Lonchura striata: one gene and its partner. The protein of the gene in region 2 purifies or fractionates together with the protein of the main gene of each other region. This does not show direct contact. Links are inferred from orthologs where the notes say so. Each region holds a gene or a part of one and is shown on either strand. Other genes may lie near its edges.

Region 1 (3,744 bases), on a different chromosome or scaffold from region 2:
TGCTCAACTGAAAGGATCAAGGAGTGCAAACTGCAGATGAGCTCGTAACTTGCCACGGGATCTTCTTTACAGCTTCCCTGCAATAACAATGTAAAAGGAATAAGAACACTTGCCACAGTTACATTGGTCACAAATTAACATTTTTCTCTCCTCCCCTCCCCCTTGGTTTTCTATATCTGGCTGAATTTTTTGTCTGCTATGGGAGGCAGGTGGGTTTCAGACAATATTTTGGTTTTTTTCCAAGTAGGAGACAAACATAAAAGCCCAATTAGCCATTAGTTTAAAATCCCAAACCATTCTTGTCCAAACTACCATTTCCATCAGCTCCAGGCACTGTATCATAATTATCTTTGTGCCAGAAGCATGGTCAGGTATCTTCCTCAAATTTCTTGTGTTAGACTTTAAAAATTCTGCTAAAGTTCAAAACCACTAAAATACATCTTCAGATTAAGTAACAGTGTAGAAAACTATGCTGAAAAGCTTCTTAAGAACAGAAATCAGTTAAATTTTCCCTACATTCAGGACAGCCTTGCCTGTGAGGTTACAAATATAAAGAACACGTGGGGATTTGTTACCTTTTCTGCCTTTTGCTCTCCTTCATCCTTTGAAGATTCTCTCTTCTTTGAAATAATGTTATATAAATGTTTTACTCCAGTTTTAAAACCAGGACAAAAATATAATACCTGAAAGCAACAGTTGAAAACACAAGAATAACTGGAGTAAGAAGTTATTCCAAACATAAATGCACATTTATCATCCACACAGCTCTGCACCTCCCCAGGCACACAAAGATCCAGGATTTTTCACAGCAGGGAGGAGCCCCGAGTATGGAAACTGAAGAATTTCCCAATCAGGACGACCACAGGGCACACATTTCCTGCAGCAGCATCTTTGTTTCCCCTGCTGTAATGAGATGCCCTTTACACTGCACCCAGAATAAATTGATTTCACCCATTTGTGCTTGTCCAAAACCTCCCTTCTGGAGCCCCCCTGGACACGGCCTCACCTGCAGGACGCTGTTCAGGTAGCAAGTGTTGCCCAGGTTGTTCAAGCCCACAAAAGGCAACATGTTGTCTTTTTTCTCACAGCTGACAAGGGAGGGGGGCTGTGCTGCAGGAACCACCTGGTCACTGGGAAACAGAGAAATGGGGTAAGAGACACTCTGGAAAAAAATCCCTCCTTCATCTCTCCCCACCTCAGAGAATTCAGCACTGAGACATGCAGGTCTAAACCCTGCCAAAGTGTGTCTGAATTCACACTGACTTCTCAGCAACCCCCCAAAACCACACAGGAGGAACACGTGCTCCAAGTTCCAACATAGCAGGAGACTGATTTAATAGATCAAAAATTCCATATTTAAATAATTTTGTATGTTCTTTCTTCATTGATATGGCAGAAAAAATGTGCCTAGAATGTATTTTTACACTGCACCCTGCTCCAGTCACATCATTTCATTTCTGGGTGCAAAGCCAAAGCATAAAACCAGAAAAAAAAACCTAGAAAAAGAATCCAATAAACCTGACACACTATACACTAGTGCATAGATTATCATTATTATTAATCACTGCTAAAAGTGAATTATACATTGCAATGACACAACGCAACCCAATTTTAAAGTCTCCAACTATTTCTAACTGACCATAATTTTCTTTTTCCAACTTAAATCCCCCCAGTAGCAATGAAATAGTTTTGCTTAGGGCCTGAAAAACCCTAATGAATGACAGCCAACCCCCAATTAAAGATCCTTCATATTTTCATTAAAGCTCGCTTTGCAGGAATTAAATTTTAATATAAATAGCTCAGTGACACAATAACTACTTATATTAACTCGAAGCAAAGCAAGTTCTTCGACTGATCCCAATCCAAAATACCAAAAGAGCAAATCGCAGCAGAATAAAAGTTATTTTTTAAAAAAAGAGTTCCTAGAAGTTGGTTTTAAAAACTAACTTCAGCAAGCGATCCCAAAGTTTGTGCCAACTAGACATCCCCGGTGCGCCGCTTTTTTGAGACGGGAATTGGTTGCGGCACTTAGGTGGTTCGGTTTGGCGAAGCCGCGGCGCCGGTTGCATTACCGTAAGCGCTCGTTAATTTAACGGAAGCAGCAGGTTAATTGGGTTTAGCGCGCACGTTAACGGGGCTGAGGCGCAGCGCGGAGCCGAAAGCGAAAGGCGCGGGGATGGCGGCGCGGCCCCGGCACCCCAACTTGTCCCGCGCGGCACTCACATCTCGGCGCCTCGCAACTCCGCTCCCTTCGCCTCATTTTCCTGCGCCTCCACGAAATCCAGCACCCGCTTCGCCTCCTTCTTCTGAAACAGCTTCAGCGACAGCCGGTTCTTCTTGGAGGGGCTGGCCCTGGCGCTGTCGCCGGGCAGGACGCCGGGCATGGTTCCTGCGGGGCGCGGCCGGGGCGCTCACACCTGGCGCGCACACACACACACACGCGCACACCAGGCGCCATTTACTCCCCGAGGGGGCCGAGCGCGGACCCGCCGCCCCCCGCCCCGGGCTGGGGCCGCCCCCCCGCGCCCCCCGCATGTTCCCCGCGGCCGGCGGGCCCGCGGCTCCCCTCACTCACCGCTACATGCCGGCCCCGCTCCCGCGCGCCGTTGCCATGGAGACCGCGCGGACACCGCCGGACAACTTGGCGCGTTTTTTTCCGCGCGCCGACGAGGACCCCCCCCCCCCCCTCCCACCCGCCCCGCCTCGCGCCGCAACCCCCCCCACCCACTACCCGCTGGCGGCCGCCCGGTGAGAACGCCGGTAAACCGAGCGCGCCGCCGAAGCGCGCCGGAGGTCGGAGGCCATGCGGAACGCGGCGCCGCCTCGCCGTCGGTATGTCCGCCGCGTCCCGGTAGCCGCCGTGATGCCGCCAGCGGCCGCGCAAGGGCGACGCTGCATCAGGCAGCGCGGCGGGCAGCCCGCTGTGGGTCCTGCCTGAGCGCGCGCGGGCGCTGGTAACGGCCCGGCCAAAGGGCTCGGGTTTGGGCTGTACCACTAGCGTGGGGAGAGCCCTCTAAGCCCCCCCACCGCCGGCGGGAGGTGGATTGGCCCCGCTGTGACCACGCCCTCTGCGCGGCTCGGCCAATCAGAGGCGGCGGCTCCGTTTCCCGCCCTCCCCGCCCTGAGGGCCCGCAGTGGCCCGGAGCTTCCCGCGCTTTCCCCTCACAATCCGCACATTCCAGCGGAATTCCCAGCGCATCCCGGCCCCAGGGCTCCGCCAGCGCACCTGTACACCGGGCAGCCAATGGCACGTAGCGCTGAGGCTGTTACGGCTGCAAAGCTGGCGGGCTAGGGGTCGCCACGCTTAAAAAGAGACGGAATGTGGGAAAATGCTGTAGATTTCTGCGTTCTGCTCTTTACATTGGCCCCTCCAGCACCTCCCGTCTGTACATAAAGGATGCACGTTGCTTATTCATACAGGTTTTCCAACAGAAAGGTTCATTCACATAAGATATTTTATAGGATTAGCTGCATAACTCACTTTGGGCAACACCCAGATCTGGGTTTTGGGGTGAATTACCCCAAATTTCAGCACTCAAAAGCTGAAGTTCCACAGGACCAGCTGCTGCTGCCTGCCCTGAGCGTGGCACTCCTGTTAAGCACTAACGCAAACTGACCTCCACAAAAATCACTCTTTTTTGCAGTCCTGCAATATTTTCAGAATTTTTTTTTTTTTTTTTTTTTTGCTGTTGCCTAAATTAATTATTACAGCAAGTCACTATCCCTAAATACTCGTATGAATTG
Region 2 (3,744 bases):
TCTTGAGCACTCTATCATCTTCCCATGGACATACAAGTAGATACCACTCTGGCCTGCTTCCTGCTACTAACACAGGTGTTACTGAAGCAATACTGGTAACTCCCACTTCTCTACCAAGAAAAACTCCAGTGGGAAGTATTTCAAGGATCTCTTCTGTGACAAACACACTCTGAAAATTACCAGGAACAGACACATCATAACCAAGAACTCTTCACAAAACTTATGAAAAATATTGGCCAAGTCCTAAACATACCAAGAGGCAAAAGGAGTGGGAAGTAATAATTTACAGCTCAGTACTTGCTTCCAAAAGGCTAACAGAAGATCCAATTTGCTAATCTAGTGCAAAATCTACCACAAATCAAAGACAGGCACAGCTAGCTAGCATAAGAAAAGAGAGGTTGAAAAGAATTCAAATGCAAAAGCCACTTCAAAAGCTAAATAAAGTCAAAATGTATCTCTCTGAAAACATCTACAAGCTTTACCTAATTTTTTCATGATCTGCACAAATGGCTCTGCTCTTCCTTAAAAATTGCTGGAAAATCTGCTCGCTATTAGGGTCCAAAATATGCCAACTCCCTTACAAATTTTTCAAGCAACAGAGGTTTTCAGCTGCCTCAGTGGCAGTGTTCAAGTGTCCATCTGTTCTCATACAGTGTTTCTAACTAATCCATCCCTAATTCCTGTAACCCTGACCAGGGTAAAGCAAATGGTTGTAAATAATCTTTTCTAAGAGTCAGTTTTGAACACGTCCTGTTCTCTCTGCATCTCCCACCACTAGCATTACCACCCCACTGCAGAGCAAACATACATCACAGTTTTAAGATTTGGACACATGAGACCTGTAACCTTCATTTCACTATCCAAAATCCAGCTACTACCTCTGTCCAACCTTTAAGTAAGGAGACTGCAGCAATCATTTGCCTCTGAGAACAGGAGTGGCAATTTTATAACTGCATCTTAAGTCTGGAAGAATCAGTGCAAAGTTTAAATCCTAACAAACTGAATGGGAGCTTCTAAACCAAGATGAGTCCATAACACAGTCACAGCACAAAGTTCGCACACATACAACCCTGAGCCATCTATTTTCAGCCTAAATTGACTTCCGGCATAAAACGTAGCATCTGATGCTTAAACCTTCTTTATATAACCCTTGCTACAATTTCTATCTGCCTTTAATTACTTAGCTGACAACTCTTCTCAGCAAAAAAAAAATTACTCACATGTAAATATGAAATGACATAATTGCGAAAGCACCTTACTGCTTTTGCTGACTCAAAGTAACTGTTTACAGCCTCTTAAATAGATGAGGTTGTCCAGATGCTAAAATCCCCATAACACAGAACATACTAAAGAAATATATGAACAGGTGCCTCTACTCAGAAAATGAGGACATATTTCTGGTTGGAGCAATAGCCAAACTCTCCCTGTTAAAACACATAACTACGAGGTGTGTAACTTCTATTTCACCACTACCTAATTTTTATGAAGTGCATGACTTAAGGCTGTACCTGACTGCCAGCTACTACCTCTACCTGCTCCCTACCCACCCTCACAACAGGCATAGGGACATGGTGAACAGAGGCTCGCAAAACTATACAAAACATTTTGTAGTCAGGTTTATCCTTTCTCAGCCCTCACCTGACCAGGTCTCCATGAAGCTGCAAAAAGAGGTTTTTCCTCCCTTCTCTGTCACAGATCTCCGCGGCTTGGGTGTCCACTGTGCAGAGGACCAGGTGCAAGTCCGAAGGAGCCGCAGCTGCTGAGTCTCTCCCATAAACATACACGCAGCCTCGTCGAACATCCCCTTTCAGCCAGGTCCTCTCACGGGAACCAACCCGACTGCTGCTCTGGCAGCTCCTGCTCCCGGTGCGCTTGGCGTTCCTCTGCAAGGCAGCCCAGACCTGAGCGTCAGCAGCGCCTGCGGCCGCTCCGACCCGGCCCGCACCGGCCCGCTCCGCAACTCCGCACAAGCGGCAGCCACTGGCATGGGAAAGACCACGGTCGCAGCGGGCAAGTGTGCCCGACGTGCCGCAGCCGACTCCCACTCCCCCCACCGAGCCGCCCGGAGCGGGGGAGGCCTCGGTCTCCTCCTCACCTTCAGCACCCGGATGCCGCCGCGGGATCCGGCCCGGCACCCTCGTGTGGCGCCCGGCGCGGCCGCCTCGTCCTCCTCGGGCTCCTGCGCAGCCCTGGGCCCCAGCCCGGCACCCGGCCCGGCCTCCCCCATCACCGGCCAGGCCGGCACCCCGGGCCTCCGCGGCCCGCCCCGGAAGCGCGCGGCCCGTCCGGCGCAGGCCCCGCCCCGGCGGCACCGGCGGGGCAGCGAGCACCGGGCCCGTGTCCGCGTCTTGCACCAGCGGGCGGTACGAGTGTGAGCCGCTCGCCAGCCGGGCGAGGAGAAGGCAAAGCTCACGCGAACGCTGCAAACGCACCTGTCGCCGCTCGCCCTCCGCACAGCTCCAGCGTGTGTCACCATCGGCACCCCGCAGCTGAGGTACGCTGCTCAGCAGCCGAACAGCACCGTGCTCCTGCTGCCCTGCAGGTCCATCTCCTAAGCTCTGCCAGTCTTAACTAGTGTCTGCTACTAATAATGTCATTAACTACTAGTGACGTCATCATCTACCAATGACATCATCATGACAGTTTGCAAGAATTTGAGCATGTTTTAGGGCAGCCACTGCTTCTCCCTCAAGGATCAAGAACATTAAAAAAAGCCTCCCACCTTCCCCGCAGTGAAATTACACGTTTGAAAAGACGTGAAAGGTCATCTAGTGAAATGTGACTGTGACTAAAACACAAAGCAGACACATGTGGTGAGAGAGATATGGTGACAATCCTTGTCCAAGAGTCACATGGAGTATGAAAGGGGTCTTTTAACAAGCTCCTAGAGCAGGCTCCAAACACATTACTTGTGTTCAGATCCCACCATGCCTTTCTAGCACCTGGACAAACATTGCTGCTTGTAACTAACATGCTCTCTCTCAGGATGGTATTCCACAGGAACTACTCAAGTGTTTTGCAACTGTCCACTCATCTTAGTCTCCAAAATTTCCTGTAAAGTTTTTTCAAAACATGGCCATGTTATTTTGCATCATCTCACATTGCCATGGCCAAACATTAAGAATCAAAACATTTTATCCCACTGTATTGGCAGAAAGCAACAAGGCGATTTTAAATCATTGAATATCGTCTCATTTTATTAGTCACTTCATAATTTGTTTCAACCAAAAGACAATACACACAGCAGAAGTCTAATGCATCCCATGTAAATGTTTACATTTGTTAAGCTCCTCACTCACCTGTGACTCAGCATTTAATTAAATTTTTCACATCTCAAAAATAGGTCTCCAGAATTTTGAGTGCCAACAGATGCCCTGCCTCAAATGGCATGTTTTTCACTTTAAATTTGGTGGCTTTGTTGGGGGTTTGTATTTTAGTAATTTTGTTTGCCTTTTTTTCTCTATACTGTCAAAGAGGCAGGATGGGGCTCTGTGTAAAATTTAAATTACAACATCACAAAATAAAAAGGAATATACAGGAGTAGAGTGAAAGTTAAAAGGGAAGAAGTCCAGCAGCTCCTTCCCTCACAGCCTCCAAGTAGAAAAGGAACACACAAAAGTGCACCAGTGTCACTGCTGCCGCGGCCCATAGCTAGTACCAGCCTTAGCCAAGGCACTGGTACCTTTCCCAGGTGCTTCAGTATCTTCTGAGTTATAGATCCCAGGTACTGTAAAGACAGTCCCC

What was found. Proteins that work in one complex are often made in the same cells at the same time.
Region 1: the proteins of PHLPP2 (region 2) and USP1 purify together in Homo sapiens (affinity purification with mass spectrometry; 3 studies listed by BioGRID and IntAct, with this or other methods). This does not show direct contact. The link is inferred for Lonchura striata from reciprocal best matches to the Homo sapiens genes PHLPP2 and USP1.

What each region holds. Positions count from the first base shown.
Region 1 is NC_134611.1:6,444,120-6,447,863, forward strand, and holds the start of USP1 (ubiquitin carboxyl-terminal hydrolase 1), read right to left. Parts: upstream 2,674-3,744; 5' UTR 2,576-2,673; intron 2,418-2,575; 5' UTR 2,385-2,417; coding exon 2,224-2,384; intron 1,131-2,223; coding exon 1,007-1,130; intron 684-1,006; coding exon 576-683; intron 78-575; coding exon 1-77. UniProt on the Homo sapiens protein: Negative regulator of DNA damage repair which specifically deubiquitinates monoubiquitinated FANCD2. Also involved in PCNA-mediated translesion synthesis (TLS) by deubiquitinating monoubiquitinated PCNA.
Region 2 is NC_134615.1:23,822,046-23,825,789, reverse strand, and holds the start of PHLPP2 (PH domain leucine-rich repeat-containing protein phosphatase 2), read right to left. Parts: upstream 2,245-3,744; 5' UTR 2,228-2,244; coding exon 2,096-2,227; intron 1,884-2,095; coding exon 1,639-1,883; intron 1-1,638. UniProt on the Homo sapiens protein: Protein phosphatase involved in regulation of Akt and PKC signaling.